Schizosaccharomyces pombe: one gene and its partners. The protein of the gene in region 1 interacts with the protein of each later gene in a biochemical or structural test. Each region holds a gene or a part of one and is shown in the gene's direction. Other genes may lie near its edges.

Region 1 (3,600 bases):
ATTTTGAGGGCCTGTCTTGTACATGGGATTCAACAGATTTGGTCTGCAATCCTCTGGTCATGGGGAGATCTATTATCGAAGAAAGATTTGACTCAAAATGTGGGGCCTGGCATTTTTGCAGGGGGACTTATCGCCTCTTTCATTTGCTTCGGGCTTTCCTACGTAACATTCGCAGGTTTACCTGCTTTTTATCGCCAAGCTCCTTCTATCATTCCAGCGTTTTATCGTTCATTAGGAAAACGAAATATTGTAATTTGGTTTTTTATCTCTCAAATTTTAATCAATTACTGGCTTGCTGTCCCTTATGGCCAGGCTTGGAGGTTTTTCTGGAATACTAGCAACACTCCTTTGTGGAGCATAATCATTCTTTTACTCATTTTCTTCATCGTGGTTTGGGCCGTTCTCTTATCAGTTATAAAGATTTTGTCTCTTAATAACGTTTGGTTTCCAGTGATATTTGGATTGGGCCTCATTTGTCCACGCTGGTGCTTAGAGTTTTGGTCATCCTCGGGTCTCGGAATTAATTTACCATGGGCTGGTAAGGCTTCTGCCTTGCTGACGAAGTCAGTATGGCTTTTGCTAGCTCTATGGGACGGGATACAGGGAGTCGGTGTCGGTGTAATGTTACTGCAAACCCTGGCGAGAGATCATGTTGCTTTCACGTTGATGCTAGCGCAAGTTATAAGTTGTATTACAATTATGATCGCAAAACCTTCTCTGCCTGTAAGTGATCGAGTATTCCCAAATCTTGGTGCATGGAATCCTAGCGAAGGACCGGGACCTTGTGCATCACCTTGCTTTTATATTGCACTAATATGTCAATTTGTAGCTGTTGGAGGATTGCTCTATCACTATCGTAAAAGTCAGCTTGCTCTTTAGTGTTTGATCTACGATAATGAGACGGTGTTTGGGTTGTTTTTACTGAATTTTTCTTTTATTTTATGACATCTTAATTTTTATGTTAATGATTATTCTTATACTTTTATCTATCTTTGATTAAAACTAATATTCATTCTTTTGATCACTAATTATTTTTATAGTATACGATTCAACCCAACTATAATACATTGTATCAAGAGAAATTTTTAATTAGATGTAATTTAATAGCCATTTGATAAAAAAAAATTACCTTTTTTTTTGCTAGTGTTAAATTATTGATCATAACAATGTCGAATGAATACTAATAAAATAGGGACACGCGAGTTGCAAATACTTGAAATACCTTTGAAGATTTGTCTGTGAATTTTGATAAGATTTTTATGACCATCTCTTTTATATTCGATATCGTGAACTTTCATTTTCTTTTGTTTTTTGCTTTTCAAGTTAAATAACGCGGAAATTATATTTCCTTATATGTTTATAAGAGCTTTTAAAGGATTTGCTATATCGCTTACAGTACTACAACCGGTTGCTCAATGTTATCCGTTTCCGCGGTCTTCTTCCGTGCGCATTCTGCCGTGAAGTGCTAACGCTGTGTGTGGCTTTATCAAAAAAGTGGCTCAAATATAGCAATTTCATACATATTTAAACACCCATTATACTTAAATGTATATTTTAAAATATATAAGAGATTTTCACTGTATAACTGTGTATCTTATCTATATGTAATCAACGGCTTCATACCACCTCAGCCAGCCGTGTTATAACTTACCGTTTACCAACTACATTTTTTGTAACGAACCAAAAAACCCTCAAAAGACAAGACCATGGAAGAAGAAATCGCAGCGTTGGTTATTGATAATGGCTCTGGTATGTGCAAAGCCGGTTTCGCTGGAGATGATGCCCCTAGAGCTGTATTCCCCTCGATTGTCGGTAGACCCCGTCACCATGGTATTATGGTAGGTATGGGACAAAAGGATTCCTACGTTGGTGATGAAGCTCAAAGCAAGCGTGGTATTTTGACCTTGAAGTACCCCATTGAGCACGGTATTGTCAACAACTGGGATGATATGGAAAAGATTTGGCATCACACTTTCTACAACGAGCTTCGTGTTGCTCCTGAGGAGCACCCTTGCTTGTTGACTGAGGCTCCTTTGAACCCCAAATCCAACCGTGAGAAGATGACTCAAATTATTTTCGAAACCTTTAATGCACCTGCCTTTTATGTTGCTATTCAAGCTGTTTTGTCTTTGTATGCCTCTGGTCGTACCACTGGTATCGTCTTGGACTCTGGTGATGGTGTTACCCACACTGTTCCCATTTATGAGGGTTATGCTCTTCCTCATGCTATCATGCGTCTTGATCTCGCCGGTCGTGACTTGACTGACTACCTTATGAAGATTCTCATGGAGCGTGGTTATACTTTCTCTACTACCGCCGAACGTGAAATTGTTCGTGACATCAAGGAGAAACTTTGCTACGTCGCTTTGGACTTTGAGCAAGAACTTCAAACTGCTGCTCAATCTTCCTCCCTTGAGAAATCTTATGAGCTTCCTGATGGTCAAGTTATCACTATCGGAAACGAGCGTTTCCGTGCCCCTGAAGCTCTTTTCCAACCCTCAGCTTTGGGTCTTGAAAACGCCGGTATTCATGAGGCTACTTACAACTCTATCATGAAATGTGATGTTGATATTCGTAAAGATTTGTACGGTAACGTTGTTATGTCTGGTGGTACCACTATGTATCCCGGTATTGCCGATCGTATGCAAAAGGAGATTCAAGCCCTTGCTCCTAGCTCCATGAAGGTCAAGATTGTTGCTCCTCCTGAGCGTAAATACTCTGTCTGGATTGGTGGATCCATTCTTGCTTCTCTTTCTACTTTCCAACAGATGTGGATCTCCAAGCAAGAGTATGATGAGAGCGGACCTGGTATCGTTTACCGTAAGTGCTTCTAAGCTCCTCTTACTTTTTGTAACGTTTTTTACATACTTTTGAATAACATCGATTCTTCTGATATATATAAATTTCAATCTTTTTTTACCTATTTAACCACCTTTTTCCGCTCTTAACATCTCATGAGGAACTTTGGGTATCAATTATTGGAGTGTTTTATATACTTTCTGATTACTATCGTTTTCTTGCTCTGTTTTCTTTTTTTCATTATAGACGAATGCAGAGCTAGCCTTTTACATATTGAAGTTACAGAAATATTTCCAGTAGATACCTATGATGTTACTTCATTCGCTTATAACTTCCCGTTTTCTTTAACATGTTTCTTCTCGAGTCCGGCCGATTATTTTTGTCGATATTTTCGTTATGTTTATCGCTGTGATTATCGATTAAAGAACTGTAGTAAATGAATTTTACTTACTCCCGTTAATTTTTACGAATTTTATTTTGTACAAGGTGGTAACTGCGAGATAGTTAGAAGCGGAAGTGGTGCAATGTACTTCATCAGCCATTTCTTTTCGTCCTGTAGAGTTGTATCATCTTCAGTACTGATTTAATTGGTACCTGAACTTGTATAACTTTGAAGCCAAATGGTTGAATGTGTTTTACATTAGTATTAGCAAAAGTTTATTAGGTCAAAAAAAGATTTAATACATACATGGTATATGATCATTGTTGGATAGTATAGTTGAGGTAAAATTCTTATAAATTGTAAGACATTGGTATGATTAGTGTTCTTCAAATATAAAAAGAGAGGAAGTAGTGAATTAT
Region 2 (3,834 bases), on another chromosome or scaffold:
TGATAAGCAAGATTATCTTGAATGGAAAGTGAATTTCAACGAAGCTAATAGTGCCATTCATGAACGGAACGAAAAGGTCAGTAAAGTTTCAGAGATGATTGAGCAAGAGCTTGAATTACTCGGTGGAACAGCAATTGAAGATAAACTTCAAGAGAATGTACCAGAAACTATCGCTCTTTTGGCTATTGCTGGAATTAAGTTGTGGGTGTTGACTGGTGATAAGGTAGAAACGGCAATCAACATTGGGTATTCATGCAATCTTCTTGATCCAAACATGACTATTTTTCGAATTGATGCAAACTCTTTCGGTGCCTTAGAAGAAGTAGAAGCTTTTATTAGAAACACATTATGCTTTAATTTTGGATACATGGGAACGGATGAAGAATTCAGATTTTTGTTGAAAGACCACAGTCCGCCATCTCCGAAACACGCCATAGTTATTGATGGGGATGCCCTGAACTTTGTTTTGTCTGAACAGGTCTCTTTTCTTTTTTTAATGTTATGTAAGCAGTGTAAGACAGTTTTGTGCTGCAGGGTTAGTCCCTCTCAGAAGGCAGCTGTTGTTGCTTTAGTCAAGAAGAGTCTAAATGTTGTCACTTTAGCAATTGGAGATGGCGCTAATGATGTTTCGATGATTCAAGAAGCCGACGTTGGAGTAGGGATAAAAGGCGTTGAAGGGCAAGCAGCTTCAATGTCGGCGGATTATGCCATCGGTCAATTTTCTTTCCTAGGGCGACTACTTCTAGTTCATGGACGATGGGACTATAAAAGAATGTCTCAAATGATTTCATTCTTTTTTTACAAAAATGTTATTTGGACATTTATACTTTTTTGGTATCAATTTTATAACGAGTTTGATGGAAACTACATATTTGATTATACCTACGTGATGCTTTTTAATCTGCTGTTCACATCACTACCCGTAATTATTGCAGGTTGTTTTGACCAGGACGTTGACGCATCTGTTTCAATGAAAAATCCAAGCTTATACCAACGGGGAATTTTAGGTCTAGAATGGAACGGAAAGAGATTTTGGTAAGTATAACTCTGAAGATTTCTGTTTGCTAAATATTTATTTTAGGTCTTACATGCTAGATGGAATATATCAATCATTGGTATGCTTTGGGGTAGCTCTATTTGTTTTTAAGTTTGGTGATTTTGTAAGTTGGACTGGAAGGAACATCGAGTGTATAGAAGACATAGGACTTTTTATATCCTCTCCTACTATTTTTGTAATCAACATTTTTATATTGATGAATCAAGAGAGATTGAATTTAATATCACTTATTACTTGGATGTTCAGCATAGGTGTATTTTGGATATGGACATTTATTTATTCAGAAGTTGGCCCCTCTTACGCTTTCCACAAATCAGCTTCGCGAACTTGTCAAACTTTTGGCTTTTGGTGTGTTACTGTTTTAACCATTGCCTTATGTTTGTTGCCTCGCTTTTCCTATATTTGCTTACAAAAATTGTTTTATCCTAGAGATATTGACCTTTTACGGAGACGACTTTGTGCAAAGTCAGATGATGAGACTAGCAGTAGTTCATCATTTGCAACAGATATAGAAATGTGCGAACAATGTAACGACCCATTAAGTTCGAAAAAAAATTCCGGTATTGTTACTTCAGTTTCATTCGATGATTCTAATAAGTAGCCATACATCTGAGTTCGCACTGTTTGTTTATGTAGTTATACTACTCCTACCGGACGAGAGTCTTTTTATTATCCTCAACATCACGAATGACTTTTTCTTAATGTTCCCTTTTTTTTCTAATAATTAATGATTATGATTAAGTCATTTTTTTAATAATCTTATAATAAACTAACATTATGAGACAAGCAAACTTCGTATGGTTGAATAAATTTTATTTACCTCTTTACAATGAGGACGATAAGTATGTAGAATGTAAAAAATATTAAACCCGAATTAATGTCTCAAGTTTTATTAATCTATAAACAGTTAATATAATTAGCAAAATTTACCAGCTGCTAATAAGTGCGTTGCAAATTTTTATAGTACATAGCGTAGTATAGTATACTACACTAATTATCACTCATTGGCTTGTTAACTACAGTGAAAATGCTAACAAACGGGAGGAACCAAAACACCACTTATACCACTGTGAGACAGCAATTTTTGAATTGCATTACAATCCGAAAATTCAAATGCCTCCATCTTCCTCTATAACTCAAGAGGATAAGGCAACTATCCGTAAATACATACCTAAAAGCACAAATAAAATCATTGCAGCAGCCGTCGTCAAGCTATATGTAGCTTATCCTGATCCGAACAAATGGAATTATACAGGTCTTTGTGGTGCTCTTGTATTGTCCTATGATACAACAGCAAAATGCTGTTGGTTTAAACTGGTTGACGTTGTGGTATGTGTATGAAGCTTTGATACTCAAAGCAAACTACAAAGAGTGGTATACAATTTAATTGAATTATAACCTTCTAACGTTTTAGAATAATAGTGGTATAATATGGGACCAAGAGCTTTATCAAAATATGGACTATCGCCAAGATCGTACATTTTTTCATTCTTTCGAGCTTGATAAATGCCTAGCAGGTTTTAGTTTTGCAAACGAGACAGACGCTCAAAAATTTTACAAAAAGGTTTTAGATAAAGGTTGCCATCCTGAATCAATTGAGAATCCGGTTTTGTCATTTATTACCAGAAAAGGTTCTTCTAGACATGCGCCTAACAACAGCAATATCCAACCTCCCTCAGCTGCTCCTCCTGTACCTGGAAAGGAAAATTATAATGCTGTTGGATCTAAAAGTCCCAATGAGCCCGAGCTTTTAAATTCGCTTGATCCGAGCTTAATTGATTCTCTAATGAAGATGGGCATTTCCCAGGATCAAATTGCTGAAAACGCAGATTTCGTCAAAGCGTACCTTAATGAATCAGCTGGTACACCTACCAGTACTTCTGCACCTCCCATCCCTCCAAGCATTCCTTCCTCTCGTCCCCCAGAGCGTGTTCCTTCTTTGTCTGCACCTGCTCCTCCCCCAATTCCACCTCCATCTAATGGAACTGTCTCTTCTCCTCCTAACTCCCCTCCCCGTCCTATCGCTCCTGTTTCGATGAATCCTGCTATTAATTCCACCTCGAAACCTCCACTCCCTCCACCATCTTCAAGAGTCAGTGCGGCAGCTCTAGCTGCTAACAAAAAACGACCTCCTCCGCCTCCGCCTCCATCCCGTCGTAATCGTGGTAAACCACCGATTGGTAATGGTTCTTCTAACTCGTCTCTTCCTCCACCTCCACCACCTCCTAGATCTAATGCTGCTGGCTCAATTCCTTTGCCGCCTCAAGGTAGATCTGCTCCTCCTCCACCTCCTCCAAGGTCTGCTCCTTCCACTGGGAGACAACCACCCCCTTTATCTTCATCTCGTGCAGTTTCAAACCCACCAGCCCCTCCTCCAGCTATTCCTGGTCGTTCTGCGCCTGCACTTCCCCCTCTTGGTAATGCATCACGAACAAGCACACCTCCTGTCCCTACACCTCCTTCTCTTCCTCCTAGTGCACCTCCATCTTTGCCCCCCAGTGCACCACCTTCTCTACCTATGGGCGCACCAGCTGCTCCCCCCCTACCACCTAGTGCACCAATTGCTCCTCCTCTACCCGCTGGTATGCCAGCTGCTCCACCATTGCCTCCCGCTGCACCAGCTCCTCCTCCAGCTCCAGCTCCTGCGCCCGCCGCGCCTGTTGCTTCGATAGCTGAATTGCCTCAACAAGACGGCCGTGCTAATTTAATGGCCAGTATCAGAGCCAGCGGTGGTATGGATTTACTGAAAAGCAGGGTAAGTATTGATATTATTACTT
Region 3 (3,834 bases), on another chromosome or scaffold:
TACATTATTGTAATTTTTGGTATTCCTTTCCTAACATCCGCCCGGGCTAATCAAAGAAAAACAAAAAGTAAAATAAAGATGCTACAGATTAAAAACTATTTTAAGAAAAATGTTTTCAAGTGGATGCAAAGCAGCGTTGGGCTGAATATTGCAATTTGTTTACATCTTCTCAACCAAGCTCTACATGAGTAGCAGTAATTGTTATTCAGAGTATGGCAACTAAAAAAGAAGTTGGTATCTTGTATTGCATTGATACAATCCTGTGTTTGCTAAACTACATATCTAGTGGAGGAAACAGGATAATCTTAATAAGTATTTACTATAAGCAGTACGTACTTTCTCAATGAGACTTACAAGTCATTGCAAAAAAGCTAGTGCTAAACCCATCCAAGCATTACTCTATAATTACACAATTCACCACAGCGTTCGGACCTTTTAGCTTGTCTGAAATCGCCAACAAACCATTTTCATTCATTTTGCATGTGATACATCTATTCCAACTCCTCGATGTTACCACGTTCAGAAACATAGATACCATCCAAGAACTTACGGATATCCTTGTTGCGGACATTGCAAATTTGCTTGATGTTGGCAGCGGATTGAGAAACATTCTCCAAGGAGTTACCTTCAATTATAATCTCATCCTTGACGGCAGAAGAAATGGAAACGGTAACGCCAGGCAAACACTTGATGACACGAGTAATACGTTCGCCCAAAAAGTTACGGATCTCAACAACGGTTCCGTTCTCAGTCAAATTGATGTTGATGGGAAAGTGAGCATAGACAAGACGCATCTTGTAGCGGAAACCTTGGGTAACGCCAATGATCATGTTATTGATGATGGAATAGGCGGTACGAATGCAAGCATTATGCTTACGAGAGCCATGCCAGACAATAAACTTGATAGTGTTGCCTTGCTTCTTCAACTCAATATCCACACGGCGCAAGTTTTGCTTCAAAACACCACGAGGGCCTTTTACAGTCACCAAACGAGCCTTGATGTCAACTGAAACGCCCTCAGGGATCGTCAATGTCTCGTCCTTGTAAATATCGCGGCCCATGTTGCTGTTGTTTGATTTTTTCTAACGTACGGCGTTCGGCAGGTTGTTTGTCTGGCTTCAGTTGTCTATTCATAAAAAACAGTCACGAAAGTTTCGAGCTTGAAACGAGACGTTTTACGCAGCGTGTTGACTTGCACTAGTGTGACTGCTTTTCTTTGGTGGAAACTTTAGTAGGAAGCAACAGTGTCGCTGAGTTTACTCTTGACCAACGACGACGACGAGATGGCATTAAAGACCTTTGAACTTCGTAAGCAATCGCAAGAGAACTTGGCTGAGCAATTACAAGAGCTCCGTCAAGAGCTTGCCTCTCTTCGCGTACAAAAGATTGCCGGTGGTTCTGGTTCTAAATTGTCTAAGATGTAAGTAAATTCTTAGGAAATAGGTATTGCTTTGTGAGAAGCAGTACTGGAAATGTATTTAGAAGGCATCTAAGAACAGTGGACATGAAATAACCTGCGTTGGCATATTTTTTCCGTCTTTCTGGACCGATGGAAAAAGTGAAAAGTTTTTTCCAGGTCAAAAACAGCTTGTAGCACCTTTTTAGATGTCGCCAACCAATTCTTTGCATCGGTTTTTATTAGTTTCTATTGATCTTCTAAACATTATGATGTTCCTTGTTCAATGTTTGCTAACTTATTTATAGTAAGACTACCCGCAAGGACATTGCTCGTATCTTGACTGTTATCAACGAGTCCAACCGTCTTGCCGCTCGTGAGGCTTACAAGAACAAGAAGTACATTCCTCTTGATCTCCGTCAAAAGAAGACTCGTGCTATCCGTCGCGCTCTTACTCCCTATGAGCAAAGCCGCAAGACTCTTAAGCAAATTAAGAAGGAGCGCTACTTCCCCCTTCGCAAGTATGCTCTTAAGGCCTAAAATGTTTTTGTAGCTAAATAAAACTTGCCATTTTTACCTTGCTTAATTAATTAAAAATCTCATTTGTAGTGTCCTAGGCTAATATGTATTATTGTAAGTGTTAAACAGTAGTTACTACCCAAATTTGACATAGAGTCGGGTTACGTCTTAGCTGCTGCATTTATCCTGTTCCTACCATCTTAGTTCTAAGGACGTACCGGCGTTTAATATTTTACCAATTACTTGTATGCCCCCGTTAATTGTTTCTTCCATTATCATAAACCTTTTCTATTCTGGTGCATAGACAAAAGTGAAATGACCCACGAGCTTTCCTCAACACCTCAAATTGACCTTTTAAATGATATTCTGAAAAATTCAGTGGAGTCAAACGTATTTTCTGATTACCAAAAGAAGCAAATCGTTACTCTAATTCTTAAATCTAAAATCAGCACTGCGATTGTGCTTTTAAGTCCAAAGTCCACTGCTGCTTCAGAATGGAACTACTTATGTAATTTACAAGACTTGCACGAATGCGTTTTGTGTGTAGATACTATTTTACCCGCAAACTTGCAAACTATTGCAAAGCGTATTTTCTCACTTGTACTACTTCCACCTCTGAATGACTGGTGTAAGCAGCTAAGAGACGCGTTTTTACGGTTTGTATCCCAGCCTTCAATATGTCCGACGGACTTTCCATTAAAACTTTTCTTTCTTTCAACTGTTGGCATTGAGCTGCTTATAGTCAATGAAAAGATTATACCCCAGAAAACTCAAAAATATCTACTGTATGAACTATTCTCTTCTCCTTCTTCAATAACGGCAAATGAGATTGCTCGTCTTTGTCAAGAAGCTAATAACCGAAATTATCTTCTTCAATCTCTCACCTCTGCTACTGATGCTCGACGCGCCTTTTTAAATAATCCTAATTACAGGCTTCTTAGTGCGATTATCTTCCAAGATGGTCCATCCAACCTTGCCTTCGTGCTTGCCAAGGACTGCGTTCTTCTAGCTCGCCAACCGGAAACTATTCCAGTCTCTTTTGAAAGGATGTCCTCTCTTTTATTGATGTGTTTACCTAGTCACCCTGATTTTATAAGTCCCGAGTTCTGTCATGAGTGGACCGAATTAGCTGAACGTAATGGACTTCAAGAGGAATGGCTAAATATCTTAAATACTGCCTGCAACTTTAAGGAATGCCGTGCTATCATTCACAAAGAATGTAGCGAATTTATCAAAGATAATCACACTTCAAGAGTTGCTATACTCATTTCAATGAAGTTAGCATTTCAGTACCAGCTTTCTCAAGTTATTCCTACATTAAAGCTTCTATTGCAGAGTAAAGTATATGATTCAGTTTTATTAGAAGCGTTACGACAATCCTCTACTCTCGGACCCGTAAAGCAACTAATTGCCGATGATTCCTGTCTTTTAAATAATTTATCAAAACTGCTTTTAGATACGAACATTTCACCGTTGGATGCAAGTTCTATTGCTACAATAATATACAATATGTGCAAGTTCAAAATCACAAAATCGGAGCATGAAAGAGAATTGAACCAACTTCGTAACATGGCTGAAGCTTCAAAAACTATTGATTACAAAGAAGATGAAACCGCTCCTACTGAACGGAGGATTCAAAAAATTTTAGAATATGACATTCTGTCAAAACTCTTTTCAGCGGCCAAGCACTATAATAGCCTAAACGGGTTATTAGCAATGATACTTGTACACATGGCTAATTACAAGCTGGCACGTCGCAAGCTAGTACAAATAGGTGCATTGAAATTCCTTACTAGACAATGTTTTATCCAAACCCAGGATTCGAATGCGGCTTTTGCATTAGCGAAAATTCTTATCAGTGTGGCTCCTCATAGTATATTTACTAAGGCGTTTCCATCGAACCGAGCAATTCATCCTAT

What was found.
Region 2: the proteins of act1 (region 1) and wsp1 form a complex in vitro, tested with the Schizosaccharomyces pombe proteins (2 studies listed by BioGRID).
Region 3: the proteins of act1 (region 1) and rng3 form a complex in vitro, tested with the Schizosaccharomyces pombe proteins (one study listed by BioGRID).

Annotation. Positions count from the first base shown.
Region 1 is NC_003423.3:1,475,383-1,478,982, reverse strand, and holds act1 (actin Act1), read left to right. Parts: upstream 1-1,649; 5' UTR 1,650-1,706; coding exon 1,707-2,834; 3' UTR 2,835-3,498; downstream 3,499-3,600. Other genes in the region: spore wall alpha-1,3-glucan synthase Mok12, read left to right, coding at 1-879. UniProt on the Schizosaccharomyces pombe protein: Actins are highly conserved proteins that are involved in various types of cell motility and are ubiquitously expressed in all eukaryotic cells.
Region 2 is NC_003424.3:4,861,785-4,865,618, reverse strand, and holds the start of wsp1 (actin assembly factor), read left to right. Parts: upstream 1-2,111; 5' UTR 2,112-2,170; coding exon 2,171-2,386; exon of another isoform or gene 2,387-2,471; coding exon 2,472-3,812; exon of another isoform or gene 3,813-3,834. Other genes in the region: SPOM_SPAC4F10.16C (P-type ATPase), read left to right, coding at 1-1,035, 1,082-1,658. UniProt on the Schizosaccharomyces pombe protein: Has a role in regulating actin assembly, so regulating polarized growth.
Region 3 is NC_003421.2:87,007-90,840, reverse strand, and holds the start of rng3 (UCS-domain protein Rng3), read left to right. Parts: upstream 1-2,152; 5' UTR 2,153-2,230; coding exon 2,231-3,834. Other genes in the region: rpl902 (60S ribosomal protein L9), read right to left, coding at 492-1,061; rpl35 (60S ribosomal protein L35), read left to right, coding at 1,284-1,420, 1,705-1,936. UniProt on the Schizosaccharomyces pombe protein: Essential for actinomyosin ring assembly during cytokinesis. Has a role, in conjunction with F-actin, in assembling myosin II-containing proteins, such as myo2, at the division site.